4 linked regions of the Lonchura striata genome follow. The protein of the gene in region 4 binds, or shares a complex with, the protein of the main gene of each other region. Links are inferred from orthologs where the notes say so. Each region holds a gene or a part of one and is shown on either strand. Other genes may lie near its edges. The genes, in order: LAMTOR4, FLCN, LAMTOR3 and FNIP1.

Region 1 (7,600 bases), on a different chromosome or scaffold from region 4:
GGTGTCTCTCTTGGCGGGCAGTGCTGAACCAGCTGGAGGAGCTGCTGAGCGACATGAAGGCGGACGTGACGCGCCTGCCGGCCACGCTGTCGCGCATCCCGCCCATCGCCGCGCGCCTGCAGATGTCGGAGCGCAGCATCCTCAGCCGCCTGGCCAGCAAGGGCGCCGAGAGCCACCCCCCGCCCGTGAGTGACACCCTGTCACACTGTCACATTGTCACCGTGTCACCCTGACACCCTGTCACACTGTCACACTGTCACCCTGTCACACTGTCACACTGCCACCTCGGCATCCTCAGCCGCCTGGCCAGCAAGGGCGCCGAGAGCCACCCCCCGCCTGTGAGTGACACCCTGTCACACTGTCACACTGTCACCCTGTCACACTGTCACTGTGTCACACTGTCACCCTGTCACACTGTCACACTGTCACACTGTCACCCTGTCACACTGTCACTGTGTCACACTGTCACCCTGTCACACTGTCACACTGTCACACTGCCACCTCGGCATCCTCAGCCGCCTGGCCAGCAAGGGCGCCGAGAGCCACCCCCTGCCCGTGAGTGACACTGTCACCCTGTCACATTGTCACCGTGTCACCCTGACACACTGTCACCCTGTCACACTGTCACCCTGTCACACTGTCACACTGCCACCTCGGCATCCTCAGCCGCCTGGCCAGCAAGGGCGCCGAGAGCCACCCCCCGCCCGTGAGTGACACCCTGTCACACTGTCACATTGTCACCCTGTCACACTGTCACCCTGTCACACTGTCACTGTGTCACACTGTCACCCTGACACCCTGTCACACTGTCACACTGTCACACTGCCACCTCGGCATCCTCAGCCGCCTGGCCAGCAAGGGCGCCGAGAGCCACCCCCCGCCCGTGAGTGACACCCTGTGACACTGTCACCCTGTCACATTGTCACCCTGTCACATTGTCACCCTGTCACACTGTCACACTGTCACCCTGACACACTGTCACCCTGACACCCTGTCACACTGTCACACTGTCACCCTGTCACATTGTCCCCGTGTCACCCTGTCACACTGTCACCCTGACACCCTGTCACCCTGTCACCCTGTCACCCCACCGTGGGGACATTGGTATTGTCCCCCTGTCACCCAGCCCCAGGGACATTGTCCACGCCTTGGGGACAGCCCTGACCCTGGGGACAGCCTGTCCTGAGGACACCCCTGGCTGTGGGGGTGGCAGCAGGAGGTGACCCCAGGAGGTGACAGTGACGGGGTGACACCAGGAGGTGACAGGTGACCCCAGGAGGTGACAGTGACGGGGTGACCCTGGGAGGTGACAGTGGGGTGGTGGCTCTAGGAGGTGACGGGGAGGGTGACTCCATGGGGTGACCCCGGGAGGTGACAGCATGGGGGTGGCACCAGGAGGTAACACTGGGAGGTGACCCCAGGTGACCCTGGAGGTGACAGTGGGAGGTGACACCATGGGGTGACCCTGGGCAGTGACCCCAGAACTTACCCCTGTCACTGTCCCCTGTCCCTGTGTCCCTGTCACTGTCCCCTGTCCCTGTCCCCTGTCCCTCTGTCCCTGTCCCTCTGTCCCTGTCCCTCTGTCCCCGTCCCTGTGTCCCTGTCCCCTGTCCCTGTCCCCTGTCCTGTCCCTGTCCCTGTCCCTGTCCCTGTCCCTGTCCCTGTCCCTGTCCCCTGTCCCTGTCCCCTGTCCCTGTCCCCTGTCCTGTCCCCTGTCCTGTCCCTGTCCCTGTCCCTGTCCCTGTCCCTGTCCCCTGTCCCTGTCCCCTGTCACTGTCCCCTGTCCCTGTCCCTGTCCCCTGTCCCTGTCCCTGTCCCCCGTCCCTGTCCCCTGTCCTGTCCCCTGTCCTGTCCCTGTCCCCGTGCTGTCCCCAGACCTTCCCGCCGGGGCCCTACGCGACCCCCCCGAGCTACGGGGGCACCTTTGGGACCCCCCCAGCCGGAGCCCTGCCCCACCCCGGGGGGGCCAACTACAGCCAGATGCCACCGGGCTCCTTCATCTCCGGTGAGACACCGGGACACCGGGACACCGGGGACACCGGGGACACCGGGGGGGACTGGGGACAACGGGGGGACACGGGACACCGGGGGGGACTGGGGACATTGGGGACACTGGGGACACTGAGGGGGACTGGGGACAACGGGGGGACACCGGGGACACCGGGGGGGACTGGGGGGACTGGGGACACTGGGGTGGATACTGGGGGGACACCGGGGGGGACTGGGGACACTGGGGGGGACTGGGGGGACTGGGGACACTGGGTGATCCCCAAAAATGGGACACTGGGGACACTGGGGGGGACAAAATGGGACACGGGGGGGGGGTCCCTGGGGTCTCTGAGGGTGTCATTGGGTGGAGAAGGGGGTTCCCTTGGGGTCCCATGGGTGGGGGTCTCTGGGGCGGTTCCCATGGGTGGGGGTCCCATGGGTGGGGGTCCCATGGGTGGGTGTGGGGGTCTCGGGGGAGGTTCCCATGGGTGGGGGTCCCATGGGTGGGTGTGGGGGTCTCGGGGGCGGTTCCCATGGGTGGGGGTCCCATGGGTGGGGTTCCCATGGGTGGGGGTCCCATGGGTGGGTGTGGGGGTCTCGGGGGAGGTTCCCATGGGTGGGGGTCCCATGGGTGGGTGTGGGGGTCTCGGGGGAGGTTCCCATGGGTGGGGGTCCCATGGGTGGGGGTCCCATGGGTGGGGGTCCCATGGGTGAGGGTCCCTGACCCCCGTGTGTCCCCCCAGCCTCGAACGGCCCCGCGGTGCTGGTGAAGCGGGGTGGGTGTGGGGTTCCCATGGGTGGGTGTGGGGGTCTCGGGGGCGGTTCCCATGGGTGGGGGTCCCATGGGTGGGTGTGGGGGTCTCGGGGGCGGTTCCCATGGGTGGGGGTCCCATGGGTGGGGGTCCCTGACCCCCGTGTCCCCCCCAGCCTCGAACGGCCCCGCGGTGCTGGTGAAGCGCGAGGCGGAGGCGCTGGAGCGGAAGGAGCCGCCGCCGCGGGGGGGGGAGGTGATCTGCATCGACGACTGAGGGGGGGGAGGGGCCGGGGGTCCCCCCTGCCCCTCCCCCCCCCAAACCCCCACCCCGGGGCGGCCCCGAGCCCGGCGGGGGGAGGGGCGGGGGGTGGGGGAGGGGGGGAGGGGCTATAAATACGGAATTTGGAATTCTATAGGAGCGGGGTCGGGGGGAGGGGCGCTCCCCGGCCCTCCCCCCCCGCCCGGGCTCCGTTTCACCGCAGAGAATAAACCCGAGTCTGTCCCGGGATTGTCCCAGACTGGGGAATAAACCCGGGATTGTCCCAAAGGAGTGGGGAATAAACCCGGGATTGTCCCAGACTGGGGAATAAACCCGGGATTGTCCCAGACTGGGGAATAAACCCGGGATTGTCCCAAAGGACTGGGGAATAAACCCGGGATTGTCCCGGAGCTGGGGAATAAACCCGGGATTGTCCCAGACTGGGGAATAAACCCGGGATTGTCCCGGAGCCGAGGGGAATAAACCCGGGATTGTCCCAAAGGAGTGGGGAATAAACCCGGGATTGTCCCGGACTGGGGAATAAACCCGGGATTGTCCCAGACTGGGGAATAAACCCGGGATTGTCCCAAAGGAGTGGGGAATAAACCCGGGATTATCCCGGAGCAGTGGGGAATAAACCCGGGATTGTCCCGGAGCTGGGGAATAAACCCGGGATTGTCCCAGAGGAGTGGGGAATAAACCCGGGATTGTCCCAAAGGAGTGGGGAATAAACCCGGGATTGTCCCAAAGGAGTGGGGAATAAACCCGGGATTGTCCCAGACTGGGGAATAAACCCGGGATTGTCCCAAAGGAGTGGGGAATAAACCCGGGATTGTCCCAGAGGAGTGGGGAATAAACCCGGGATTGTCCCAGAGGAGTGGGGAATAAACCCGGGATTGTCCCGGAGCCGAGGGGAATAAACCCGGGATTGTCCCAAAGGACTGGGGAATAAACCCGGGATTGTCCCAGAGGAGTGGGGAATAAACCCGGGATTGTCCCGGAGCCGAGGGGAATAAACCCGGGATTGTCCCGGAGGAGTGGGGAATAAACCCGGGATTGTCCCGGAGCAGTGGGGAATAAACCCGGGATTGTCCCGGACTGGGGAATAAACCCGGGATTGTCCCAGACTGGGGAATAAACCCGGGATTGTCCCAAAGGACTGGGGAATAAACCCGGGATTGTCCCGGAGGAGTGGGGAATAAACCCGGGATTGTCCCGGAGCAGTGGGGAATAAACCCGGGATTGTCCCAAAGGTTACCATGGAGAGGTTTGTGGAGGGGAATTCCCCTTTTTTTGAAGCTTTTTTGGGCCGTTTTGCCCCAATTTCCCCATTTCTTGGGGGGCGCGGGGGCGGGGCTGGAGGAGCGAGGGACGATGGAGCGCGCGCTGGGGGACTGACGTCACTTCCGGCGCGGGAGGACCCACCGAGATGCGCGGGGCGAGCGCAACTTCCGGTTCCGTGGGGGAAACTACAGAGCCGCGCGCTGGGTAACTGACGTCACTTCCGGTGCGCCGGACCAGCGAGTTCACCACGCCTCTCTGCCCACGTGATCCTGCAGCCGGCTCCGATTGGTGGATGGGTCGGCGACGAGAGAAGCGCTAAACCAATGAGGGATCGGGGCGGGTACTGAGGGCGGGTCACGTGATCGGAAGGGAAAGCGGGAGCGTCGCCATGGTGAGAACTGGGATGGGGAACTGGGAGAGACTGGGAGAGACTGGGATGGACTGGGATGGACTGGGATGGACTGGGAGGGACTGGGGGGGACTGGGAACAGACTGGGATGGATTGGGATGGACTGGGATGGGACTGGGAGGGACTGGGGGGGACTGGGGGGGACTGGGAACAGACTGGGATATACTGGGAGGGACTGGGATGGAACTGGGAGGGACTGGGGGGGACTGGGAGGGAACTGGGAGGGACTGGGATAAACTGGGAGGGACTGGGATGGACTGGGGGGGAACTGGGGGGGAACTGGGAGGGAACTGGGAGGGACTGGGATAAACTGGGAGGGACTGGGATGGACTGGGGGGGAACTGGGATGACAGCAGCCTGTACTGGTTTATACTGGGCTGCACTGATCCGTACTGGTCCATACTGGTTAACGCTGTCCGTACCGGTTTATACGGGTCCATACTGGTGTGTACTGGTCCGTACTTACACTAGTTTATACTGGTTTATACCGGTCCGTACTGGTTTACACTAGTTTATACCGGTCCGTACTGGTTTATACCGGTGTATACTGGTCCGTACTGGTTTACACTAGTTTATACCGGTCCATACTGGTTTACACCGGTGTATACTGGTCCGTACTGGTTTATACTGGTCCGTACTGGTTTACACCGGTTTATACCGGTCCGTACTGGTTTACACCGGTGTATACTGGTCCGTACTGGTTTACACCAGTTTATACTGGTCCGTACTGGTTTACACCAGTGTATACTGGTCCGTACTGGTTTACACTAGTTTATACCGGTCCGTACTGGTTTATACCGGTGTATACTGGTCCGTACTGGTTTACACTAGTTTATACTGGTCCGTACTGGTTTATACCGGTGTATACTGGTCCGTACTGGTTTACACCAGTGTATACTGGTCCGTACTGGTTTATACCGGTGTGTACTGGTCCGTACTGGTTTACACTAGTTTATACCGGTCCGTACTGGTTTACACTAGTTTATACCGGTCCGTACTGGTTTATACCGGTGTATACTGGTCCGTACTGGTTTACACTAGTTTATACCGGTCCGTACTGGTTTACACCGGTGTATACTGGTCCGTACTGGTTTACACTAGTTTATACTGGTCCGTACTGGTTTACACCGGTGTATACTGGTCCGTACTGGTTTATACTGGTCCGTACTGGTCCATACTGGTTTACAGCGCTGTCTGCGGCCCGCAGGCGGCGCTGGCGCAGGGCCTGGAGCGGGTTCCGGCCCAGGCCGGGTTCCTCGTGATCAGCGACGGCGCCGTGCTGGCCGTGAGGGGCTGGAACGGGGGGTCCCGAAATTGGGGAGGGGTCCCAAAATTGGGGGGAGGGGAACCTAAAATTGGGGTCCCGAAATTGGGGAGGGGGACCTAAAAAATGGGGGGAGGGGGACCTAAAATTGGGGTCCCAAAAATTGGGGAGGGGTCCCTAAAAATGGGGGGAGAGGGGCCTAAAAATGAGGGAGGGGTCCCAAAATTGAGGGGGGGTCGTCCCTAAAAATGGCGGAAGGAGTCCCAAAATTGGGGGGTGTCCCTAAAAATGGGGGGAGGGGTCCCTAAAATGGGTCTCAAAATTGGGGAAAGGGATCCCTAAAAAATGGGGGGAGGGGTCCCAAAATTGGGGTCCCAAAAATGGGGGGAGGTACGGAACTGGGAGGTCCCAAAAACTGGGGAGGGGGTCCCTAAAAGTTGGGGGAGGGGGGAGGCAAAATCTGGGGGGGGGGTCCTCGAATTTGAGGGTGCCAAAATCTGGGGGAGGGGGGGGAAGTTCGGGGGGGGGGGGGGTGTGAAGCTTTTTTGGGGGTTCCTCAATTTGGGGAGGGGTCCCTTCAAACCGGGGGTTCCCAGGTGGGTTTTGGGTTATTTTTTGGGGATTTTTGTTTCCCTCTGGGAGGCTTCAATTTTTTGGGGGGGGGATCTTGGAGTGAGAATTCCCAAGAAGTTTTGGGGGGATTCCCAAGAATTTGGGAAATTTTTGGGGGGGTGGTTCTCAGGTCATTTTTGGGGTGGTTTTTTGGGGCATTTTTGGGGAGTTTTCTCCTCCTGGGTCCCCCAGTTTTTTTGGGATCTTTGAGCGAGAACTCCCAAAAGAAATTTTGGGGGGGATCCCCAGGAATTTTGTGGGGGTCCTCAAGTCATTTTTTGGGGTGATTTTGCTGCATTTCGGTGCCGCTTTTTGGGGGTTTTTTTGGGGGGGATTTTTTTTGTTCCCCCTGAGAACTCCCAAAAAGCTTTCGGGGTTCCCCAAATGCGGAATTCTTCCTTCGGCAGTCCTCGGGGGACCTGGAGAACGACGAGCACACGGCCACCGTCCTGCAGGGCCTGGTGGCCACGGCGCTGGGGCTGCGGCTGCCCCGCGGCCACGAGCCGCCCTTCCGCCGCCTCTCGGGTGAGCTGGCACGAAAAGAGGCACGGAACCGCCCCGAAATACCCAAAACGGGCACGGAACGGCCCCGAAATATCCAAAACGGGCACGGAACGGCCCCGAAATATCCAAAACGGGGACAAAATATCCAAAACGGGGACAAAATATCCAAAACGGGCACAAAATGGCCCCGAAATATCCAAAACGGGCACGAAACCGACCCGAAATACCCAAAACGGGCACGAAACGGCCCCAAAATACTCAAAACGGGCACGGAAGGGCCCCAGAATATCCAAAACGGGGACAAAATATCCAAAACGGGCACGCAACGGCCCCAAAATATCCAAAACGGGCACGGAACGGCCCCAAAATACCCAAAACGGGCACAAAATATCCAAAACGGGCACGAAACCGCCCCAAAATATCCAAAACGGCCCCAAAATATCCAAAACGGGCACAAAATATCCAAAACGGGGACAAAATATCCAAAACGGGGACAAAATATCCAAGACGGGCACAAAACGGCCC
Region 2 (7,484 bases), on a different chromosome or scaffold from region 4:
GTACTTGATGGAGGTTTCCTTGTCGTGGCTGACGTACCCCGGGTGTCCTCCTGCAAGAGAGCGGCAGCCCTGAAGGCAGAAAAGCAAATCCAGCCATAAATGAGCGTGCAGGTATCTGAGATTTCCAAAGAGCTCTGACTGTTCCCTCCAAAGCACCGTAAAATCTTATTTACACACACAGACAGGAACACAAAGACTCAGAAGACAAGGAAGGTGAGTCAGGGTCAGGATTTGAACTCAGGTCCTCACACAAAACTCTGATATACTTCTTCTGCTTTTATGCTCATTTTCCACTATTTAAGCCCACTATGAACTTAGTGCTGGTAAAGTTCAGTTACAGCAGCTGAGAAACCAACCGGCCAAACAAAACTGGCCACAACTGAAGGGAAAGTAAATAATAAATATGTGAGAGGAAGTACTGATAGAAAACAAATATGAGAATCATAGAATGGTTTGGGTTGGAAGGGACCTTAAAGAGCACCTCATTCCACCCCCTGCCATGGGAAGGGACACCTTCCCAAGCCCCATGCAACCTGGCCTTGGACACTTCCTAGGATGGGGCAGCCACAGCTTCTCTGGGCAACCTGTGCCAGGGCCTCACTACCCTGAGAGGGAATAATTTTTTAGTATATCTAACCTAAATTTCCCCTTTTTTCAGTTTCAACACACTACTCCTTGTCTTATCACTGCAGTTCCTGATGAAAGTCCTTCTCTGGATTCCCTGCAGGCCCCTTCAGACACTGGAAAGGTACTGCGAGGTCTCCACACAAACTTCTGTTCTCCAGGCTGAACAGCCCTGAATGAATGAGAATATAATTTTTTCCTATTGTTTTTATTGTTTTACTTTTTAATTCTTTCCTAACCAATACTGCTCTTAAAATTACTATTAATAATTTATCTGATCTAATCTAACAAAATAAATGTTCTTCAAGGATGAGCAAAGCATTTCTCAGCCACAGGAGAATCACAAATCACAGAACTTAAAGAGACATCAAGGTCCTGTCAAGGTGTATGCATTCAACAACAGCTCCTTCATCCTCTTGTCATGGATCACCAGGATTACAGTTAGGGCTAGCTTGCAGTTTATGAGGACTTGGACATCTTCTGGCACTGACACATATAAAACATATTCTGTTCACATTTTTATTTGTCTCTAAACAATTCAATTTACATCAGAGAATCCCAGAGCCCTTTAGCACAGCCAAGGACGGAGATCCCCACGCACAGATTTTCCCACTTGCCTCACACATGTCTGATTTCTTTGGCCCTGGGCTGCTGGAGTCGGCGCTGGCCCCTTCAGCCGGGCTGTGCGAGCGGATCCTGCTGCTCATCTGAATCCCACCTTCCTCCTCCTCTGCCTGCTCGTTCTGCCCGGAGATGTCCCCGCTGCCGGCGCCCTGCGGGAGCGGCGAGTGCAGGACCTCGGTGCAGAACAGGGTGCGAGGGCCGTGGAGCTCGCAGAAATGGCACAGGGCAACGATGGCGTTCATCGTGAGGGCTCAGCACCGCCGCCAGGCTCCTGCAGCCAGGGGCAGAGCACACGGTCAGTACACAGATACAGGGCAGCTCTCAGCCCTTGCTGCTGCTCTGCACCCCACCCGGAGCAGCTGGCCTTAAGCTCAGCCTGAGACCTCCAGGACCATCAAGTCCAACCGATCCCCACCTTGTCACCCAGCCCAGAGCACTGAGTGCCGTGTCCAGTCTTTCCTTAGACACCTCCAGGGATGGTGACTCCAACACCTCCCCAGGCATTGCACTGATCCAGGAGCAACCTTCTGTTTGCTGATGGGCAACCCCATCAGCAACTCACCCTGCCGTGCCCAGATGCTGGACGCTGATCCAGGACACGTCAAGCCCCGTGGGGGTGAATGGGGCTGGACCAATCCATCAAGCCCAGATACCTCCAGTATTACAGGTTCAGGGAATCCCAGAATGGTTTGGGTAGGAAGTGACCTTGGAAATAACCCAGTACAACCTCCTGCCACGGACAGGACACCTTCCCCTATCCCAGATTGCTCCAAGCCCCATCCAACCTGGCCTTGGACACTTCCAGGGATGGAGAAGCCACAGCTTCTCTGGACAACCTGTGCTTCCCCACACTCACAGGCCAAATTCCTTCCCAATATCCTATCTAAGCCTGCTGTCGGTTTGAAGCCGTTCCCCCTGGTCGTGTCACTCCACACCCCTGTAAATAGTCTTGTCCCATCTTTCCTGCAAGTTCTATTTAGGTACTGGAAGGCCACAATTAGGTCACCCCGAAGCCTTCCCCTTTCTAGGCTGAACAATCCCAATTCTCCCAGCCTTTCCTCAAAGGCCAGGTGCTCTTCCCCCCCGATCACCTTGGTGGCCTCCTCTGGATCAAGGCTGAGCTCAGACCAGAAGATCCCCCGTGGCCGGAGCCTCAGGCCGGATCGGGCGGGCGCTGCGGAGCACCCAGGGAGCCGAACGCTCAGGCCCTGCCGGAGCCAGCCTGTCCCGCGGGTGCAGTGTCCGGCTCCCCGCTCCCCGTCACCGCGGCCCCGCTCCCTTCCCCGCCGCCCCGCTCCCGTGCCCGCCGCCCCGCTCACCGCGGCGCCCCCGGCCCGTCCCGAGCCTGACACCGACTGACCCACCGGCCCTACCACCCCACCGCCAGCCGGGGGGGGGGGGAGGGGGGGCAGGGACACACAGCGCCCCGCCCGCGCGCCCGCCGCCGCCGCGGAGAAGCGAGAAGATGGAGAACAAGGTAGGAGAGAGACAGAGAGAGAGATGAGAAGCCCGTTCGTACCGCGGGACTGAGCCGGCCGTCCCGCCCGGAGAGCCGCCACCCCCCGGCTGCTGCAGTGGCTCGGCCCAGGGCCGCCCTGTCCACAGGGGCCGGGCGGAGCCATTATCTCAGAGGGGGGTGTAAGAAGGTCTGGAAGGCGCACCCTCCCCGCCCGCGCTACACCTGCCCAGCTGTCACGGCGCAGAGCGGAGCAGCGGTGTTCCATCACCGGGGACACCGGAAGGGACGAGCGGCAGCCAGCGACCGGCGGGGGCCGCCCCGGGAGCGGACGGCGCTCCCCCCGCGGGGTGGTACGGGCCGCGCTGTGGGTCATGTGACCCGCGGGCTCTGGGAGGGGACCCGGGGTGGCCGCGGGCGGAGCCCCGGAGGGGCCGGGACCGGGACCGGGACCGGGACCGGAGCCGGGGCCGGGACCGGGACCGGGACCGGAGCCGGGGCCGGGATGGAAACCGCGGCCGGGTTGGAGCCTGCCGCATTAACGAGCTTCGCCATCGGCTGTCGCAGAGCCCCTTCCCGGGACTTTCTCCGGCCTCAGGGCGGTGCCGTGTTCTCGCAGGCTCGGCGCGATTTCTCCATTGGAGACTCAGCACCCACCGTCTGTGTTAGTTCCTTAAAGTGCTCAGAATGTTAGATTATGGCAGATGAAGGTTTCACAATACTGTCGTTTCCCGATGTATAAAGCGGCTCTGTGGAAGTGTTTGCACAGGTACAGCCCGGGAAGGGCAGGGGAGCAGATGCCCAAGTTAAGCCTGTTCAGGCTCTTTATTTCCATTAAACAACTCCTGTTTCTCTTCAGGATATCACATTTAAATATTAAAATATTATTTATCTCTTAAGAATCTATGATGGAAAGCTAAACCAAATTCCATATGAACCTATTGACCTTCAAAAATAATAAAGTACCAGATTCCTCCCTGCCCCTTGGAGTCGCCACTTAAAGAACTTTAAATACCTGAATCTGAACAAAAAGAATAAGTTTTCAGGTAGATAACAGCATAGATTATTCAACTGAGTAAAACTCGTACTTTAATCCCAAGAAAGAGCAGCTATTGCTGATACCACTACACAACACACCTCTGGGTCCAAGCACAGCCACTCATGGACTAATAATTATGTCTTTGATTAAAACAATAGCCAGATGGTCAGCAAGATGGATTGTTACAGAAATACAGAGCTCAGACACAAATCCCAGAATGGTTTGGGTTGGAAGGACCTCATGGACCATCCCATGCCAAGCCCCTGCTGTGGGCAGGGACATCTTCACTAGACTAGTGAAGATGCGTTCCATCCAAAATCCCAAAGCTCATCTCAGTCAAGGACCTGCAGCAGCACTTCTCCAGAAAGACACTAAAGAAAGATTATTTCTACTTGGAATTGCTCAGCAGAGCTCTGAGAAGCCACCAGCAGGGTTTCAGCACCTCTGGAGCAGAGGGCACTGCCACACACAGCAGGCAACCAGCAGCCTCCCCAGTCAGCCAAAAATCACCTCCTGAAAAGCAACCACAACAGAGAGATCCCCCCAAAAAACCTAAGAAAACCCCAAATGGAAAAGACCTACAATCTCATTGAAGACAAACTAAGAACCACTCGTTTGTTATCTTTATTTTCCAATAGTACATTTAAACAACTTCTCAGGACTAAGCTCCCGGGCCAGCGTGGCACACGGAGAACATTTCCTAGGTTATACAGACGGCCTGTGACAACACAAACACGGGGCTGTGGCTGTGCCGTGGCACACACAGGGAGCTGTGGAGGAGGAGGCAGCTGCAGTTACACCACGGAGCAATGGCTCAGCACAGCTCGCTCTGGGGCTCCTCAGTGGCACAAAACCAGGAGTGGGGGCTGGCTGGACACAGCTTCCAACCATTCCTCCTTAGGAACATTTCCAAATCTCACCGTGACTGGCCTAGAGACCCCTCCTGTGGCTATGAACTGCAGCTGCACATGTGATGCTGCCTTCAGAAGTGCATTTTGTGTCTTTGCCAATTAAAATGCATCAAAATCAGAGTCAGATATCAAAGCGTGCACTCAGTATTCCCTGGACACATCTTGTGACCATGCAGGATGGGAAGGAACAGCCACGAGACCTCTGAGAGTCCAAGTTGGGAGCAGCACAGCACGCAGTGTTCCTAGATTTCAGCAGAAGTCCTTCCCTGCAGTAAATACAAATTAAAACCAGAAAGCCCAAGTGTTCTCGAAGCCTCTCAGCTGACCACAGCCCAGGCAATTAGTTCCAAGACTTGGAAGGAGCTGCTTCATTAAAAATCTGACTTAATTTCAGCGCTATCTCAAGACATGCAGATGCCAGATCATGTGTGTTTATCAAACGAGGACTTAAAAGCCCTTCCCTGGAGCACTTTTGGTGAATGCTTTATCTACTGATTCTACAGGTGGGACCTGACTTTGAATTTCTAACAGAATTCAGACATTGACAGCACAGACAGAAAAGGAACCGCAGCCATTCTCTAACTTTAAAAGCATTTGCCCTCTTAAAAATCAGATATGTAATGGAATATATCACTTTAAACTATTACACAGCTATTTTTGCCATCCTTTTGATGTGAGCATGGATTTATTTTATCTACTTTGGGCAAGGAAAAAGAAGAGAAAAATCTAGAGCTATTCACCAGCTGCATGGATTAGTTTGCTTCTAATTCCACAGCTGGAAAACCATCCTGCAGATCTCAGCAGGTAAATCCATGCTCAATAACAGGAACTAGTAGTGTAAAAATGGACATTCCTGGTTTTTTTCAGACTCCATGACAGCATCTTGAATACATTCTCCCCTGGCAATACATTCTCCCCTGGCAAGGGAGCCACTGGCAAAGAGAGTTGAGGCAGGCACATTTCTGGATGGGTGGGGTTTGGGGTCAGTTGTTTGCAGTCCCTTCTGTGAGTGCCACATGTGGTTGTAACAACCACCCTGTTTTGGGCTCAAGCCACAGCATCACTAATTACTCATTTAATACTTCCATGGGACCAGAGGGGAAAATGCTGTATGTTCAGCATTAAAATCACTGCAGGATTAACAAGGCTAAAAACCTTCCAAGTCATAGATCTCTTCTAGTTACAAGACTTGTGAGTTATGAAAAACCCCAAGATCTTGCTTAAAGATCAGATATAAAAGTTGTCCCAATGGAATTCTCTCAGGCAGGAAGTGATGAGCTACTCACACTATGGACCTCCACTGTGTTCACTACTAAATTGCTATTTTATACTTTTTTAAAAATGTCCTCCACCACCAACCACAACCTGGGACACCTCTCTGCACCAGAAGGCAGCACCCTGCTGCCACCAACACTTCTGTATCAGCGCTGGAAGCACAAATGGAATATTTTCAACCATAGGTGACCTCAATACATACAAACTTCTCACAGCAAGAGCCAGGAATGCTCAGCTCCCACCTGGACAAAAGCTGGCAGGGCAGCAGGAGCAAGCAGCTCCTGGCCAGGTGTTTCAGTAGGAAGCAGTGGCTGTTGAGCTTCTTGTTTTCTGATTTGATGACGGGTTTATTTCTGCCTGACAGGAAGGTGTTTGAACAGTGAGAATCTTCAAATACACGAGAATGACAGAAAATTAAACAGCCTGTTGGATTTAAGGGGTGAAGCACTTTAAAGAATCCAATAGCAAAGTTTCAAAGTTTAAAATAGTAAATTAAAAACCAGGTACCATTCCAACACATTATATCTGAATAAAATCCTGCATTTTGAGAGCTGTATAGAATTCTATTTATGTTCCATGCAGAAATACAGGTTTCCACCAAAGAAACAATCAGCCTGTTGAATACCTTCATGCCAGTTGCACAGGAACAAACATTTAAATTTCTTTCAGTGTAAACAACTTCCTATCTAGAATCCTCCAGAACACCAATGTTTTCCAAATATCCTTTTGTTTAGGCCTAATAAATTTCATCTAAGAGCAAATAATATTAGCAGATATTTTGCAACAGAAACTTAAAATCATAAACAGCTGTCACGTATGTTTTCCATATATGATTCTTACTTTGCAGCAAACTTCCTTACAAGGACATGTTGATATCCTCATCCTTTCTGGAAGAACAGTTCTTATTTCCTCATTTAACAGACAGCACCAGCTACATGGGGCATATGCAAATTCCCTACATTATGATTTGCTTGAACTCCACCTCTCTGCCCCCACCACACATATGATAAATCTGCACTTTGAGCCAACTTTAAATACAGAATAATGAACCAATAATTATCTTGTAAGTGAACCAACACTGGTTTGTATTCTTCCCTGAATAACACTTTCTTTTGCAGAAGAGGAGGACTGCTACAGAAACACGGCAACATTCAAACCCTTTAAAACAAAAGGTAGATTATTTAATGCATTAACAATGTTAATCTGAAGATAAATAAATCCACAACAGACTTTCAAGTTTCTTTTGAGATTTCCTTTTTCTTTGCAGAGAATATTTCTGATATTATACAGTACTGAGAGGGTGTTCTTTTATTTTCTTAATGTCCAGGTGAAAAGCAAAGCTCAGTTCTCTCTGCTCTCTTTGTGGAACTCCTCAATGCCCTGTTCCAGGCGTGATTCTTTCGTAAGCTTTTACTTGAAAGCGGAGTGGTGAGCAACATTAATTTCAAGAATAACTGGATGGTTTGGTCCCTGAGTCATCTTCTTGAGAGCCCATACTCTGAAAGGGAAAGAGTTAGTTCTGTTCAGAAACAGGTCTGCAGGCTTGAGAATGACA
Region 3 (7,494 bases), on a different chromosome or scaffold from region 4:
CTGAAACAACAAAAAAAAAGTGTTGCTGTACTGAATGCCCTTACTAAGGCTATAGTAAAAGGGTTCAGATGTAATGGAAAGGCATCCAGTTGTTTGAAATATGCAATCAAAATCTATGGAGAAAACGAGATTCCCCAGATTTTGTAACTGTCCAGAATGTATTGTAATTATATCAATGAAAACAAACTATCAAAATACATCCTGGTACTCCTGTGTCTTCTTAAAAGAAGAAAGTTGTTCCAAAGGCTTTAACAAGTACTTAGACCTTCCTGTTTACAAATGAGTCTGAGCTTGCAAGTGATCTTTTAGTTAACAGGAAAAAGGATATATAACACATTTATCAAATATTGGAACTGTGAAGTCAGAGTGAACAGATGGTCTTAGCAAAGCTGCCTATAATAATTCTATGGGCTGTGTCTGCCCTTCAGCCACTTCTGGTGCAGGTGAGAAGTGGGGAAATGGATGGATGCTGAGCTGTGTCAGCTGGGTTCCATTCCTATCAGTTCTTCTGCAAGCTGGAATGATGTGCTGGCTGTGCCCTATGGCAACACAGATATCCCATAAGGTTAAAAGTGAGACCTAGACCACAACATTTCATTTGACTACCTTGCAATTAGCACTTTCTGAAAAGGAAATAATATGTTTATACTGGTGGAAGTATGCTGCTTAGCATTTAACAGATTAAATACTTGCACACTTTGAAATACGTAGTAATGTGCAAAAGGATGCTGTGATTTCCTGTGGCATAAAGATTAAGCTGCTCTAAATATGGCCTGCAAACACTCTTTTAATATTTCAAGTGGGTGTTTTTCTCCTCATGATTGTTGCTTTTTTCCTCAAGTCTGAAGGTTTGGTTTTTTTTTCCTTCAGAAATGTCAATATCTTCCCTGGATTTATTGAGGGAATCTGCTGGAAAGTACAGAATTAATTTTCTCATGAGCAAAATGCAAATTGAAGAGAGTGGAGTACTTAAATCTTTTCAGATGACCTTTCTTCAGAAGGAAAAGTTCTCATTAAAATAAGATATTGGAAAGAGAAGAGGAAAACAACACTGTTTTTGAACAGCCTGACTAAAAATCCCTCAAAATTTTAGCTACATGCTCCTTACTGTTTTTATTTAGTGATTACCTTTCATTTAATCTAGAGTTAAAGATAGCACAAGCATGGGTTCTTGGTTTTATCCTTTAAAAGGGCAGGCAGAAAAGTCCAGCAAAAAGAGAAAAATCTTGGCATGACTCTGACATAGCCTAATGAAAAAAGGAGGTGATTTGCATCTGCTGAAATATAACATCAATATGTGTTCTATTTATGGAGCATCCTGAGTCACAAGCGAGTTCAGTGTTCACATCTGATGAACATTTCCCTACAAGTTCTCTGTTTGGGTAAAACAAGTCTAAATTGGAATTTTTAACTGTTTTTTAAATGGTCTTTTTTCTTTTAACAAGTTTCCAAGAAATGGTAGAACATTACAGCGCTAAAACTGTAACAGATGAATTTAAATAGACATTAGAGACAACTTTAAATAATGAATATTTTTAATGTAATTTTGTAACAAATGCTGTGAAAGGATTTCAATGGGAGAGCAAGAATATTTTTTAAGGTTGTTTGTTCATAAATTTCATTCACCATTAAGCAGTTGTTATTCTGACTCCTTGTAGCTCTGTCAAATTGAAGAAAAGTGTAATAGTAAAAGCATTTTGTTTTTAGAAAAAGCAGGTAATACTAAATAAATTCCTAAAGCTATAATTTACTTACACAAAATGTAATGCAATAAATGTAGGAAAAAAAAGGCCATTTGTTGTGGTTTGGCCTCAGCCATGGATCAGCACCGTGCAGCCAGCTGCTCTCACCCCCACAGCGCAGTGGGAAAAATTGAACTCAGGTAAAACCTGTGGGTTGAGATGACAGCAGTTTCATCATCGAAACAAAATCAGGTATCAGTGATCAACAGCAATGAAAAGGGACACAACAAGGGAGAGAGGAATTGATGCCCAGTGCAATTGCTCACCACACTCTGACCCATGCCCTGCCTGTCCCTGTTGAGCAGTCAGCAGCTCCTGACCAACCTCCCCAGTTTATACACTGACCATGAGGGGATCCATGGAATGGAATTGCCCTTTGGCACATCCAGGTTTGCTGTCCTGGCTGTACTCCCTCCCAGCTTCTTGTTCACCTGCTCACTGCCAGAGTGTGGGAGACTGAAAAATCCTGGATTTAGAGTAAGCACTGCTCAGCAACAGCCAAAGTATCTGTGTTACCAAAATTATTCTCATACTGAATCCAAGGCACAGCACTGTACCAGCTGCTTGGAAGAAAAGTAACTCCCCTCTCCCAGCTGAAAGCAGGACACCATTATAAACTATACTTCCCATACTGCTCAGTCTGGCAGGAATTAGGTTTGAGTATTGGGCTTCTCCATGTTTTTAGAAATAATGTTAAAATACACTGTTTAGTTACAATGTTATCCTTCATGTAAGATACGCTTCTCCCTCCAGTACTGGTTTATTCCACATATAGAATGACTGTCATTGGGATGGGAGAATAAATTCCCATTAATAGTAATACAGGAGCCATCTCATAGATGCTTTTGCATAGCTTTTATTCAAAATGTGACAGGGAAATAAGTAAAATTGTTCATTGAGCATCATGGCTGCAAATAATTTTTTAAAAGTTGCATTTTTAAACATATTTAGTGTATATTAGGGAATATTTTAATAAATGAGAAGACCAAGGTTGTTCCAGGTAGCATTTTCAAAATATACCAGAAGCTCACACAATGATTTTAAGTATCTTTTAAGTATCTCTCTAATATGACCAAGTCCTTATCAAATTGCTGTGTGTGCATGGCTTGGATTAAGAAGGAGGTATGGATTCTCAGTATTCAAATAAATTTGTTCTTTTGAATTACTTTTTCCTCTTACTTGCAGAAAGTGGCTTATTTCTGTTTTGAGCTTTTTGGAAATGTCACTGGACCTATATGTGCAGAAACATTAGCAATTTCCAAGTTTTTTTTTTTTTTTTTTTTTTTAATTTACACTTTTTAAAAGTTTAATTTTATACTGGCATCTAAGCAAAATCTTCAGGTATCAACAATGCTCTAGTCCCTGTTGGTGTCCCCTCGGCTCAGTATTGGGCCCACTCCTATTCAGTATCTTTAGTGATGATCTGGATAAGGAAATTGAGTCTACCCTCGGTAAGTCCACAGTGACACCAAGTTGGGTGGCATTGTCGATCTGCTGGAGGGCAGGAGGTCTCTGCAGGGGATCTGGACTGGTTGGATCAATGGGCTGAGACCAACAGAATGAGGTTTAACAAGGCTGAGTGCTGCCCTTGGGTCACAGCAACCCCAGGCAGTGCCACAAGCAGGAGAAAGAGTGGCTGGGAAGCTGCCCAGTGGAAAAGGGCCTGGGGGTTCTGGTGACAGCAGCAGAACATGAGCCAGCTGTGCCCAGGGGGCCAAGAAGGCCAAGGGCATCCATCCTGGCCTGTATCAGCAATGGTGTGGCCAGCAGGAGCAGAGATTGTTTCCCTGTACTCGGCACTGGTGAGGCCACAGCTCAAGAGCTGTGTCCAGTTCTGGGCCCCTCACTGCAAGAAGGACATTGAGGAGCTGGAGTGTGCCCAGAGAAGGGCAGCGGAGCTGGAGAAGGGTCTGGAGCACAAGTCCTGTGAGGAGTGGTTGAGGGAGCTGGGGGTGAGTGTTCAGCCTGGAGAAGAGGCAGCTCAGGGGCACCTTACTGCTTACAGCCCCCTGACAGGAGGGTGTAGCTGGGGGGGTCGGCCTCTTCTAGCATGCAACCAGTGACAGGATGAGAGGAAATTATCTCAAGCTGTGCCAGGAGAGATTCAGGTTGGATGTTAGCAAGAAATTCTTCACAGAAAAGGTGACTAGTACTGAAACGGGCTGCCCAGTAAGGTGATGGAATCACTGCTGCTGGAGGTATTAAAGACTGGACGTGGCACTCAGGGCCATGGTCTGGTTAACCTGGTGGTGTTTAGTCATAGTCTGGACTTGATGATCTGGGATGTCTTTTCCAACTTAATTTATTCTGTGATTCCGTGCTTGGCCTGTAGCAGCTTTTTTTTTTTTTTTTTTTTTTTTAAAGAAAAATCATTGTTACATGCTGAGCAGCTTGGGGCATTTTTAGATCTACCATAAGGGTCCTGCATTCCGATAGAAGACTTTAAAAACAGATGTGCAGTTACCATTGTAACTAACTGTTACACTGTAGGCATCTACTAAATTAATCTATTTATTTCTTCACATTAGCTGTTAAATTGGCCTGCAGGCTCATGGTTTGATGGAATTGATCCAAAAGTAAGGGAAATAGGCAACAGTGGAAGAGCGGCAGTAATTTCTCGGCAGAAAAAGACGTTCGCTTTCTGTCGCTGATCTTCTTTAAGCAAAACGCTATGGCTTGTTTTGGCTTTGGTTCGTTTTGCTGCCGGGGCGGGGAGGGCGGGGACGGCCGGGAAGCGGTTCCGGGGCCGGCAGGGCGGTGCCGTGGCTCATGTGACAGCGCTCCGAGGGAAGCGGCGGCGGAGCCGTGCGGGGCGCGGGCAGGTACGGCGGGGCGGGCGGGAGCGGCCGGCCGGGCCCCGGGACGGAGCGCGGCCTCCCTCCCTCCGGCCGCCCGCGGTGACGGGGCCGCCTCGTCTTGTCTCGCAGGCCCCGGAGGCGGCGGCGGCAGCAGCGGGCGGGCCCCAGCCATGGCCGACGTGAGTGCGGCTCCGCGGGGCGGGCGGGCCGGGGCGGGCTGCTGGCGGGGCCGGGCGGTGCTTCGGGCGGGGAGGGAGCTCCGGAGTGCCCGGCCGCTCGGAGCGGCCGTGAGTAACGCGCCGCCGTCTCTGCCCGCAGGACCTGAAGCGGTTCCTGTACAAGAAGCTGCCGAGGTGAGGTGGGGCTGTGCGGGGCGGGCGGCCGGGCCCATCGGGTGCCAGCCCCCTGCCATGGCAGGGACACTTCCCACGACACCCGCTTGCTCAGAGCCCTCTCCGGCCTGGCCATGAACACTTCCAGGGGGGGGTATCCACAGCCTCCCTGGGCAGCCTGTTCCACTATCTCACCGCCACATAGTAAAGAATTTTTTCCTAATAGCTAACCTGAATTTCCTGGTTTTCAATTTGTCCTGTCACTGCAGTTTGTGATTACGAGTTCCTCTCCAGCTTCCCTATAAACCCCGTTCTGATACTGGAAGGTTGCTGTGAGGTCTCCACTCAACCTTTTCTTCTCCAGGCTGAACAGCCCCAACTTCCTCAGCCTGCCTTTGTAGGGGAAGTGCTTCAGCCTTTTCATCAACCTCATGGCTTCCTCTGCACTTGCTCCAGCAGTTCCATGTCCTTCTTATTGCTGGGGCCACCAGACCTGTACTAAACAGAACAAATACTAAATTAATGAAGGCATCAGTTTTTTTCAAAGTTCTCCCCTTCTTTGCACATTTGTTCACACAAAAAACCTTTTGTACTAATTACTGTGTTTTTAAAATTATGCATCTTCTTCCTTTTTTTTTTTCAGTGTTGAAGGACTTCATGCTATTGTGGTCTCAGATAGAGATGGTGTGCCTGTTATCAAAGGTAACTTCAGCTTCTCACTGTGCTCTGCAGCTGAAATCCTGATTGAACAGCAGAGGGTGGAGAAGTACAGAAAAGTCTTCCTGGTTATGCCAAATACCCGAATATCCCAAGTGGTAGAATTTAATTGGACTTTAAGTAAAAGTTCACTAGTTGATTATGTACCTTTTTGAACATATCCTTTTGTCTGTGCCCTCCGTAACTGTAGTCTGTGGGAGTTTTCCTCCATGACAGGGGCTGGAATGCTGTAAGGTCCTTTTAGCTTCAAGTCCCTCACAGGCTGATTGATACTAAGTAGTAGAGAGAGCTTGGCAGTATTTTGTTGGTTTCTTTGGTACTCTAGTTTTCATGTTCTGCAGTGCTTGTTTCAGATGGTTTTGGCTTGTGAGTATAATGGTTTAAGGATACAAAGATTCAAGTATTGCAGGTTTATTTTGCTCAATGCTCCAAAGTATTCAAACACCCAGCAGAACTTGCACATCTTCACCTGTCTGCAGTCAAGTGTGTGCCAGTAGTCTGTTCAAAGGTTGGAATGGGTGCAAACAGTGTGGGACATGGAACCAAAGGGGCATCAGCACAGGCTGTGCATCCTAAAGGAAAAGAGTCTTTTTCAGGTATGCAAGGAGGGATGCTGCTATAGCAAGCTATGATCATACAGAGAGCATTAAATTATGTACAGCTCGTGAAAATTGTCTGGTGTTCCTGTGGGAGCACCTCGGGCATCTTGCATGTTTCTCTGGTTTTGGCAGAGCACTGAGCTGGATGAGAGTTTGAGGTGCAGTCAGAGACACCATGTAAAGATAAGGATTTTCTTGTTTTGTTCTAGTTGCCAATGATAATGCTCCAGAACATGCACTGCGACCTGGCTTTTTGTCCACCTTTGCCCTTGCCACAGATCAGGGCAGTAAGTTAGGACTCTCTAAAAACAAAAGTATCATCTGCTATTACAATACCTACCAGGTGAGTAACCTCAGCGTGCCCTGTCCTCAGCAACTTGAGCTGTTCCTGCGTTACATTGAGCAAGAGAAAGAAGGTTGTTTAAGCTCTGGTAGATTTTCACTAGGCTGCTATTGAAGTAATTTTGGTTTATTTCTTACACAGCTTAAATGGTTAAGCCAAACTTTCACAGTATTTTTAAAACTTCTGTTATATTTCTCAAAACTTGAGATTTACTTCTTGATAGTGGGAAAGTGTAGTGGTTCTGAATTTGCAGGAGGTATTGTTCGTATGGTCTTCTGAATCTTTTATGAAGGGTTTATGTACTCTTTTAGAAACAATGTTTATAATTAGTGACACCTAACATTAATTAAAGTACATGCAGCCTACTTCATAGTTAATCTTGCTGCCAATATGGCTTTGAGATAAGAATGGTTTGAAATACCACTCACATTTTTCAGAAATAAATTATTTGTGTCCAGAAGTCTATAATCTACTACATTTCTGTTCCTTCATGAGTTCTGGTGGCCCTGAGAGCTTTTAATTATGACTGCAGTAAACTGAACAGCTGTTTAGCCTATAGTGTATCAAGCTTTGCTTGGAAATAAGTGGGTGAGTAAGACAGTTTGCCCACATCAGTACATTTCTTTGACTCTCTTGATGCTACTAGCTTACTGTTGTGCCCATGGCACCATTTCCCTGTTAATGGAAGAACAGATATTCCTGTACAGGGAACAGTATTTTAAAACAATAAACCTGTCTGCCATCCTGTTTCCTGTGGAGGGTGTGTCTCCACAATGGAATCTGCAGGGTCTGCAGCTAAGGTAGGGTTCTGGTGGACAGCAGTCTGTAGAACATGGAGACAGAGGGAATGGCCAGATTTTCCATGTGCAGCTCCCTGTACTGTAGTGTAAGGTCTGTTTGTGTTTCTAACCATGAATCTTAAGAAACGGGTACACTAAAAAGTCACCTCTGTGGCTCTTGCTC
Region 4 (7,138 bases):
GTACTCTACATCTTGGAATATAAGGGCTTAACTGTTCCCTCCTAGAATGCTTGCAGGTGTTTCTGTGTTTCTTGTAAAGAGATTTTACCACTAAAATTTGAATATTCTTGCTCAACATGTGAATGTCAAGCTGTAGTAAGAGATTTCAGTCTAAGGGCCCAATCTGCCAATTGCCCAGGATTAAATGGAAGAGATAAAAAACTAACAAGCAGTGGATCTACTGTGATTTCCTAAAGTTCCTTCTGTAAAATAAACTGCATACATATAGATATATATGTTTAAAATTACAAAAATGGCAAACTGTCACCTTAGCAAATATTTTCCAGTTGCTAATTTACTGTTCCCATTACTAAACCTCTTAACTTCTCCAGAACCTAGTCACAAAGAGTTATACAGAGTCTGGCTAGACATAGGCTCACAAAATTTCACACACCCACAGCACAGAGAGAGATCTTTGGCCGGAAATTAAAAAAAAAAAAAGAAAAAAAAATAAAAGGAAAAAAAATTAAAACCCACCACAAACCTACCCACAAATCAACAACTAAACAAAATGTGTCTCCTGAAAAGTACTGTTTTATTTTTGAAACAGTGTAAGGTCAGATAAATAGAACTGATGAATTTTCACAATAAGACTGATGGAAATGTAAAATACATTGATAGTAAAAAAAAAAAAAGAGTGGCAAAATCATTCTTAAATGTTCTGCTATAGTAATGTCATTGCCAGAGTAATTGGGCTCTTCTCTCCAAGTACATATTATTCACAAAATATAATAAGAGAATTATGCATTTTTATGGGTTTTCTGAATAAGAGAGTTGTGTTTTCAAAGTGAAGACAGACAGAAATAACAGCGCTCAGAATATTTGGGAAATGCTGTGTTATTTAGACTGTAAATAGATATAATGTATCAATCCATAAAACATCACCTTGCCCCAATGAAATTGATGAGGTTGGTGCATTCAGGTTCACTGGAACCAGCAACAGTCGAAAGTGCTTATTTCCAGTCTCCAAAGACTCAGCTGTCAAGTATCAGTCCTTATTTTGTGTACCACCTGAAAGTTTCATCAGGAATTGATAATCCTAACAAGTTGTGATCTTAGCTACAAACTTAAGCCTCATTTGTAAAATGAAAGCAGCCATTAGGCAATGTGCCTAGAGAAATATGTATTAATCTTTAAAAATACTACTTGACTCTCCTAAGTCAGAGCTGGATCTCCCACCCTCCCCAGAGCCTCATCAGCCTTTCCCTGCAAATTCTACCTGTGGTTCCACAAAAAAAACCCAACTGCAAATTCACCAGTTACCAGTTGACAATTCATATCACAAAGTGAAACAGCACTACAAATTTCAGACCCAGTTTGGCACAGAAGGATACAGGTGACGAGGGAAGCACAGACCTTGCCAAGTACTCACTTTCCTTTCAACACGGGTGTGAGTCCCACATTTCTGCCCCAGGTCTGCACTGCAGCTGTTGCATGAACCACCAGTCTCTAAACAAACCCATCACTAAGGCAAAGCAAAAGGTACTAAGAGCAGTCTTAGTACCCCTTCCCCACCAAGGGCTCTGGTCCAGTATTAACATGATTTGGAAAATAAGATGACATTGACATCCTTCAAACGTTTTGTTTCTTAGAAAAAATAATTTTAAAAAAGGATTCACTCCATGGTGAATATCAGAGAGGTGTGAAAGCAGTTACGCATCAGTGTCTTCAAAAGTAGTGTGAGCTCCACGTAACAACCAGGAGCATGTCTTGACTCCTTAAGGACTCATATAGTCCAACCAATATTTTTTGAAAACCTCTGTAGTTAGGTAACTGCAAATACACTGTTATCCATCTAAACTGCTAAATACTGCAGCTGAAAGGTGTATTCCACCACAGAAAATTAAGCCCATCAGTCAGAAATGTCCCTTTACAGAGCAACCCAAGGGCTGATCATTTGTATGCAGTAAATTTCAAGGCAGCGGGTGGGAGGAGAGCTTCACCACACTGTTAGAAGTGCTTCAAGAAGCCCGTAACTCTTACTAATGAAGCAGATTTTATTTCCATCCAAATGGCAAACCGCACTTTAAGGCGATATTGAAGGTTCTGTCTTTGCCAGGACGCAGACACGGCATCGCTTTCGAGCCTGACCATTATTCACGCGTGGGTCAGCACAAAAGCTACCTGTTTCCGAGCAAAGCAGCCCGCGAAGCCCCAGCGAGCCCAGGCCCGCAGCGCATCGAACCAGCCTCCGCCCGGGCCGGCCCCACAGCCCCCGGGCTGCCCGGGCCCCTGCCCCGCTCCCCGCGCTCAGCCTGGCCTCGCTCGGCCGAGCCAGCGCTGCTGCTGCGCTCAGGGCATGACGAATTTCACCACAAGCCCCACTCCTCTCTTCGCCAAAACTTCACGTTCTCTCCCCGCTCCTGGGGCTGCTTCCTGGGGACCGGCCCGCAGCATCCCCGGAGGGGCCCGCGGGGCCTCGGACACGGCGGGGAAGGGGAGGCAGCCGCGGGTGGGGGTGAGGCACGGCCCGGCGCGGGGAGCGGCGGCCGGGGGGGCAGCCGAGCGAGGCACCGCGGCGGCCCCGACGTGGCGGTCCCGGGGGCGCCCGCCCCGCGCCCGCCGGAGGGGCCCGGCCGGGGCGGCCCGGGGCTCCCGCGGAGGACGGGGGACGGATCCCCCGGGGCTGGGGGGGGAACGGGGCACGTCGCCCAGGAGCTGCAGATGGGGCAGGGAAGGGTCTGCCAGCCCCCGCGTCCGCCGGGCGGCGGAGGGAGCGGAGAACTCGGAGAAGTTTGGGGCAGGGTAGGAGCGCGACCCCGTCCCGGTTACCTGAAGACACAGTCGTCGCGGGCGTCCCTGGCCGGGGAGATCAGGCCGTGCTTCTTGTTGAAGAGCTTCTGGAAGAGGGTGGGCGGCATTTTGGGGCGCTGCCGCTGCCCCCGCCGCCGAGGCGCTGGGCTCCGCGCAGCGCCGTCCCTTCGCCGCGGCTAGTTCCGCCCGCCCCGCTCCATTCGGTGTCACAGTCATATGACAGAAATTAGTCACCCGGCGCTGCCAGGAGGGGAGGAGGGAGCGAGGGGAGGGACGGAGGGAGCGGGGGCCGGCCGGCGGGCGGGGCGGGCCCCGTGGGGCGGCCCCGAGTGCAGAGCGGAGCCCGGCAGACCCCGCCGAGCCGGGGGCAGTGCGGAGCTCCTCCCGCTCCCCGCCCCGGCGGCTCCTCCGGCCGCAGCGTCTGCGGGAAAAGCGCCCGCTCCCGGCCGGGCTCAGCTGGGGGCAGGGCCAAGGAATGCCCCGGGGGCGGCGATAACACGCCGCTGTTGTGTTTTCCTTCTTCGGACGGAAGTTAAAGGCAGGAGCTCCAGGAAGGCGAGAGGTCACGATCGAGGCATCAGATCCTTCTCGTGGCTGTACCCAGCGCCTTCGGGACTCGGCGTGCAGGGGTGAACCAGAGAAAGGTGACGTTTTTACCCCAAGCCTCGAAAACCCAGCTCCTTCCCGCTCTCCTCCCAGGTACAAGAAGCGATTCTCCCACAGCTGGAGCAGAACCGCTCAGCTCAGACGCACTGGAGTCAAAACCTACAGGGAAGGTGGAACGCGTGTAGTTGATGGCAGAGAAAGCCATCATTAACAGGTAAAACATCCATCCACAAAAGAGTATTTAGGACATAAAGCCTAGCAACTGACTCCAAAACAAATTAAAAAAAAAAAAAAAGTGTGATAGGTTTTTTAAAATCAAAAGGATCCATGCCTTTTTACAAAACTATTAGTAATACCTAAATGAAATAGAAACAGTCTCCTTCAGTGTCTCACTGTTCAGATACAATCCTGCTAGGAAGTTTAATTAAGGACTGACAAAACTGACTGACTCATCTGCTTTCCCCGGAAAATGGAATTAAACAACATGTGATGTAAGATTAAATTAAGCATTATTCTTTTTAAGGCATAATTTAGCACGTGTAATGTATCTACAGAATGATTCTTCACAATCATCCATCTGTAGGAACTTCGTTTTCCATCTACCAGGAGTTGTAGACAATTCTACCACAAAACAGGAATTAATGTTTAGATGCATCTTTTCCCCCCTTATTCTGTACAGAAGACACATGTGGCTGCCACAGATTACACATGATGAATCTTTACATCTTTTCACCATGTAGAAGCCTCCTGGCTTCAAGAGGAGCACATAAATACAGTCTCAAAGATAGAAAGTCCTCAGGGAACAAAACTATAGAATAATGGCCAGAGTATGTAACTCAGCTCTCAGCAGTTTCACAACTTAGAGCAATGAAGATGTCACTAAGCTCAAGTGCATTGCAATTCAAGCTGATGGAGTCCCTTTAAATATAAGTGTACTTATGTATACATTCAGCATATTTTGATCTGGGCCCAGACATCTTTTCTGTGTCTAAAGATTATGAACCAAACCAGAAACATCTGCATGTAAGGCTTTACCCTCCACTGACCTGTTCATGTACCCCCCTTGTAGTACTCCAGTACAAGACACATCTCCCACCATCTCTGAGTACTTGGAGTCAAAGTCTCTTAAAAGTGCACTTCAGATAACAAGAATAACTGAACATTGTTAATGAAAAACCTCTTACAGATTTATGTATAATACATTTACTCAACATGCATCTGCCATGCACAATTCCTGCTGATACAGGATTATCAGAGTTCTTGCATGGACTGACTCGCTGGAAGCAATTCCATTCCAGCCATTAAGACTTCATCATGTCTGGGATGTGACAGAAAAGCCCTGGTGACACTGAACAGATTCTTCTCCTGAATCACTGCACAAATAACCTCCTCAGTCCTGCCCATTAACTGGCCATGACCCATAACCTTTATCTACCAATATGGAAGAGCTAGTTCCCACTCTGAATGAAATTTTATGTAGTAATTTTTCAGCTGAAAACCAAACTATGGGAAAATGCCTTTCCTTTGAGAATAGAGTAGGGATTGTTGCAGCGTCAAAATGAATTTCCTTCCCTGGGGCAAAAAGCTAGGCTGGTAATTAATTACACTTTCTCTAAGAGTCAGACAAAAGATGATAAGAAGCAGTGCTTTCATAACTGAAGGGAAGGACAAGAGATTGTGGTTCGTGATATTTCTGTCCTCCTATACAACCTCATCACATCAAGAAAAACAAAGGCAAACCCCAGCAATATTCATGCTGCTACAGCCAATTCCACAGTTACAGACCATGTTTTCCTCTCTTGCACTTTCCAATTAGTTTGCCAGTATTAGTCTCTTTGTATAACACTACCAAATGCCCTGGGGCAAAATAAGTGTTTTTTCCTATGACTTCCAGAATACCATTACAATAAACATATCTTTATTCTGGACCATCTTTTACTTGAATAATCATCATAAGCATTATGATGATTACATCATAAGCATTATGATGATTATTCAAGTAAACTTACTAAATATGTAACTTTCAATTTTGCTTAAAGCTACATCAAGGAGCTCACCTCCATCTCCTAGGGGCCCTAGATTATTGCATAATTACTAGTGATAGTATTTGCAAGAACAAGGATATTGATAATTAAAAGCATACCCGACAGGACTCCAAGGAGTTACTGGCAGAACTCATTCTATTAATGCTTAAAAGAAAAATAGCTTAATGGCATAATTTCTAACCTTGAGCCATTTAGAATGTTTATATAATACTTGTTCGCAGACTAATCCAGCAGCAATTATTTGCACTTCCTTCTACCCCAGAGCAATGGGCAAAAGATCAGAGTTTGAACTTTCACAGGTATTTTCAAATGCAGTCAAACTACAGTTATGGATTTTGTATGTCTTCTTTTAATTCTCTTTTAGGAAATACAGAACTATTTTCCAGGGTGATAACACTGAGAAACAAACTCAGACTTTTGAAAGCCATACTAGCATTTTGAAACATTGAAAAATTTTCTTTTCATCCAGATAGAGTCTAAGTAAAGGATATTGTAGTGAGAACACTGTAGGGGTCCAAATTACTTTAATGTGCAATGAATTCAAGTGGAAAAAAATTGTTCTTGACTGTTTTTTCCGAGACATTCAGCACATTAAGAACAACATTTATGAATTAACAATCCACAACCTGAACAGGAAGCACAGGGAGTCTAACTTATGTGGACACAGTGTGAGAAGTAACCTGAAAATCCAGAATGTCAATATCCATCTCTTCAAACAGTTCAGCTATAAAAGGGTTTTTCCCACCATTGTCTTCATGTAAGGCATTTACTTTCTCTTAAGTCTGAAGCCACTAGAAGAGAGAATGACTAAGAGATGTGATCTTACAAAATACCTGAGATGAAACAGGAAGGACTCTGTGGTGGCAGTGGCTGGGCAGTGGATGTGCCCTGAATGGTGACAGTGCTGATCATTAAGAGACAATTCTCAGTGATGATGGGGTGAAGATGACCTGTAGTCATGTTCAGAAATCAAATTACAGCAGAACTCACAGTCCCGTACCTCCAAAGTTCTGCAGACTTAAGCACTCAAGGAGTTTAATGGTGCCATACTATTGACTTCTGGGTCTCCGAGAGTGCATGAATGCTTTCATGGCCACTCCCAGGACTCCATGTTAACACTGACCTTCATAGTCAATGTTAACACTTAAACAGAGGTTCCATCTTTTGATGCTAATGCTACTAGAGAAAACTAGAAATCTTGGCAGAAAGAGCCAAAAGTAATTAATTAAAGGAATTTGGTCTCCTGTTCTTCAGTCAAACTTTTTAAAAATCTAAACAAATTGAAGAATCATCTCTATGGAATCTTACAGAACAATGCCCAGAGCAGGATCTAGCTGCTGAACAAAACAATTTAATATAAAGTATTTGAGTATTTACTAGCTTATAGAAACATGTAATATTAAATTTCAAACAACATTCATACAAAAACCATATAACTATTATTTACTAGTTAGGAGTTCTGTTTTACCACCCTGTCACAGTAGCAAGACAGTCATTTCTTCTGTTAACTCCTGCTGAGAGCCAAAAATCTCATCTCTGTTTACAGTAGATCCAATTTTTGGTACTTGTTATAGTATCTGGGAGAAAAAAAAAAAAGTGATAAATAACTATCAATAAAGTGGTACATTCTCACAAGTAAAAGAAAGCTCAATGATCTGACCAGCTGTTCAGATGTTCACTAGATATATCCAATG

Evidence for each region.
Region 1: FNIP1 (region 4) and LAMTOR4 share a complex: the UniProt entries of both Homo sapiens proteins name them as parts of the lysosomal folliculin complex. The link is inferred for Lonchura striata from reciprocal best matches to the Homo sapiens genes FNIP1 and LAMTOR4.
Region 2: FNIP1 (region 4) and FLCN share a complex: the UniProt entries of both Homo sapiens proteins name them as parts of the lysosomal folliculin complex. The link is inferred for Lonchura striata from reciprocal best matches to the Homo sapiens genes FNIP1 and FLCN.
Region 3: FNIP1 (region 4) and LAMTOR3 share a complex: the UniProt entries of both Homo sapiens proteins name them as parts of the lysosomal folliculin complex. The link is inferred for Lonchura striata from reciprocal best matches to the Homo sapiens genes FNIP1 and LAMTOR3.

The regions. Positions count from the first base shown.
Region 1 is NC_134636.1:1,852,947-1,860,546, reverse strand, and holds the start of LAMTOR4 (ragulator complex protein LAMTOR4), read left to right. Parts: upstream 1-4,599; 5' UTR 4,600-4,674; coding exon 4,675-4,677; intron 4,678-5,902; coding exon 5,903-5,980; intron 5,981-6,978; coding exon 6,979-7,096; intron 7,097-7,600. Other genes in the region: CHD3 (chromodomain-helicase-DNA-binding protein 3), read left to right, coding at 22-185, 1,876-2,005, 2,917-3,017. UniProt on the Homo sapiens protein: As part of the Ragulator complex it is involved in amino acid sensing and activation of mTORC1, a signaling complex promoting cell growth in response to growth factors, energy levels, and amino acids.
Region 2 is NC_134618.1:15,352,400-15,359,883, forward strand, and holds the start of FLCN (folliculin), read right to left. Parts: upstream 3,012-7,484; 5' UTR 2,768-3,011; intron 2,638-2,767; exon of another isoform or gene 2,568-2,637; intron 1,520-2,567; 5' UTR 1,491-1,519; coding exon 1,242-1,490; intron 70-1,241; coding exon 1-69. Other genes in the region: COPS3 (COP9 signalosome complex subunit 3), read right to left, coding at 7,374-7,427. UniProt on the Homo sapiens protein: Multi-functional protein, involved in both the cellular response to amino acid availability and in the regulation of glycolysis.
Region 3 is NC_134606.1:49,696,968-49,704,461, forward strand, and holds the start of LAMTOR3 (ragulator complex protein LAMTOR3), read left to right. Parts: upstream 1-4,484; 5' UTR 4,485-4,564; intron 4,565-4,669; 5' UTR 4,670-4,710; coding exon 4,711-4,719; intron 4,720-4,858; coding exon 4,859-4,893; intron 4,894-5,515; coding exon 5,516-5,574; intron 5,575-6,397; coding exon 6,398-6,531; intron 6,532-7,494. UniProt on the Homo sapiens protein: As part of the Ragulator complex it is involved in amino acid sensing and activation of mTORC1, a signaling complex promoting cell growth in response to growth factors, energy levels, and amino acids.
Region 4 is NC_134617.1:10,455,256-10,462,393, forward strand, and holds the start of FNIP1 (folliculin-interacting protein 1), read right to left. Parts: upstream 3,011-7,138; 5' UTR 2,901-3,010; coding exon 2,812-2,900; intron 1-2,811. Other genes in the region: MEIKIN (meiosis-specific kinetochore protein), read right to left, coding at 6,975-7,021. UniProt on the Homo sapiens protein: Binding partner of the GTPase-activating protein FLCN: involved in the cellular response to amino acid availability by regulating the non-canonical mTORC1 signaling cascade controlling the MiT/TFE factors TFEB and TFE3.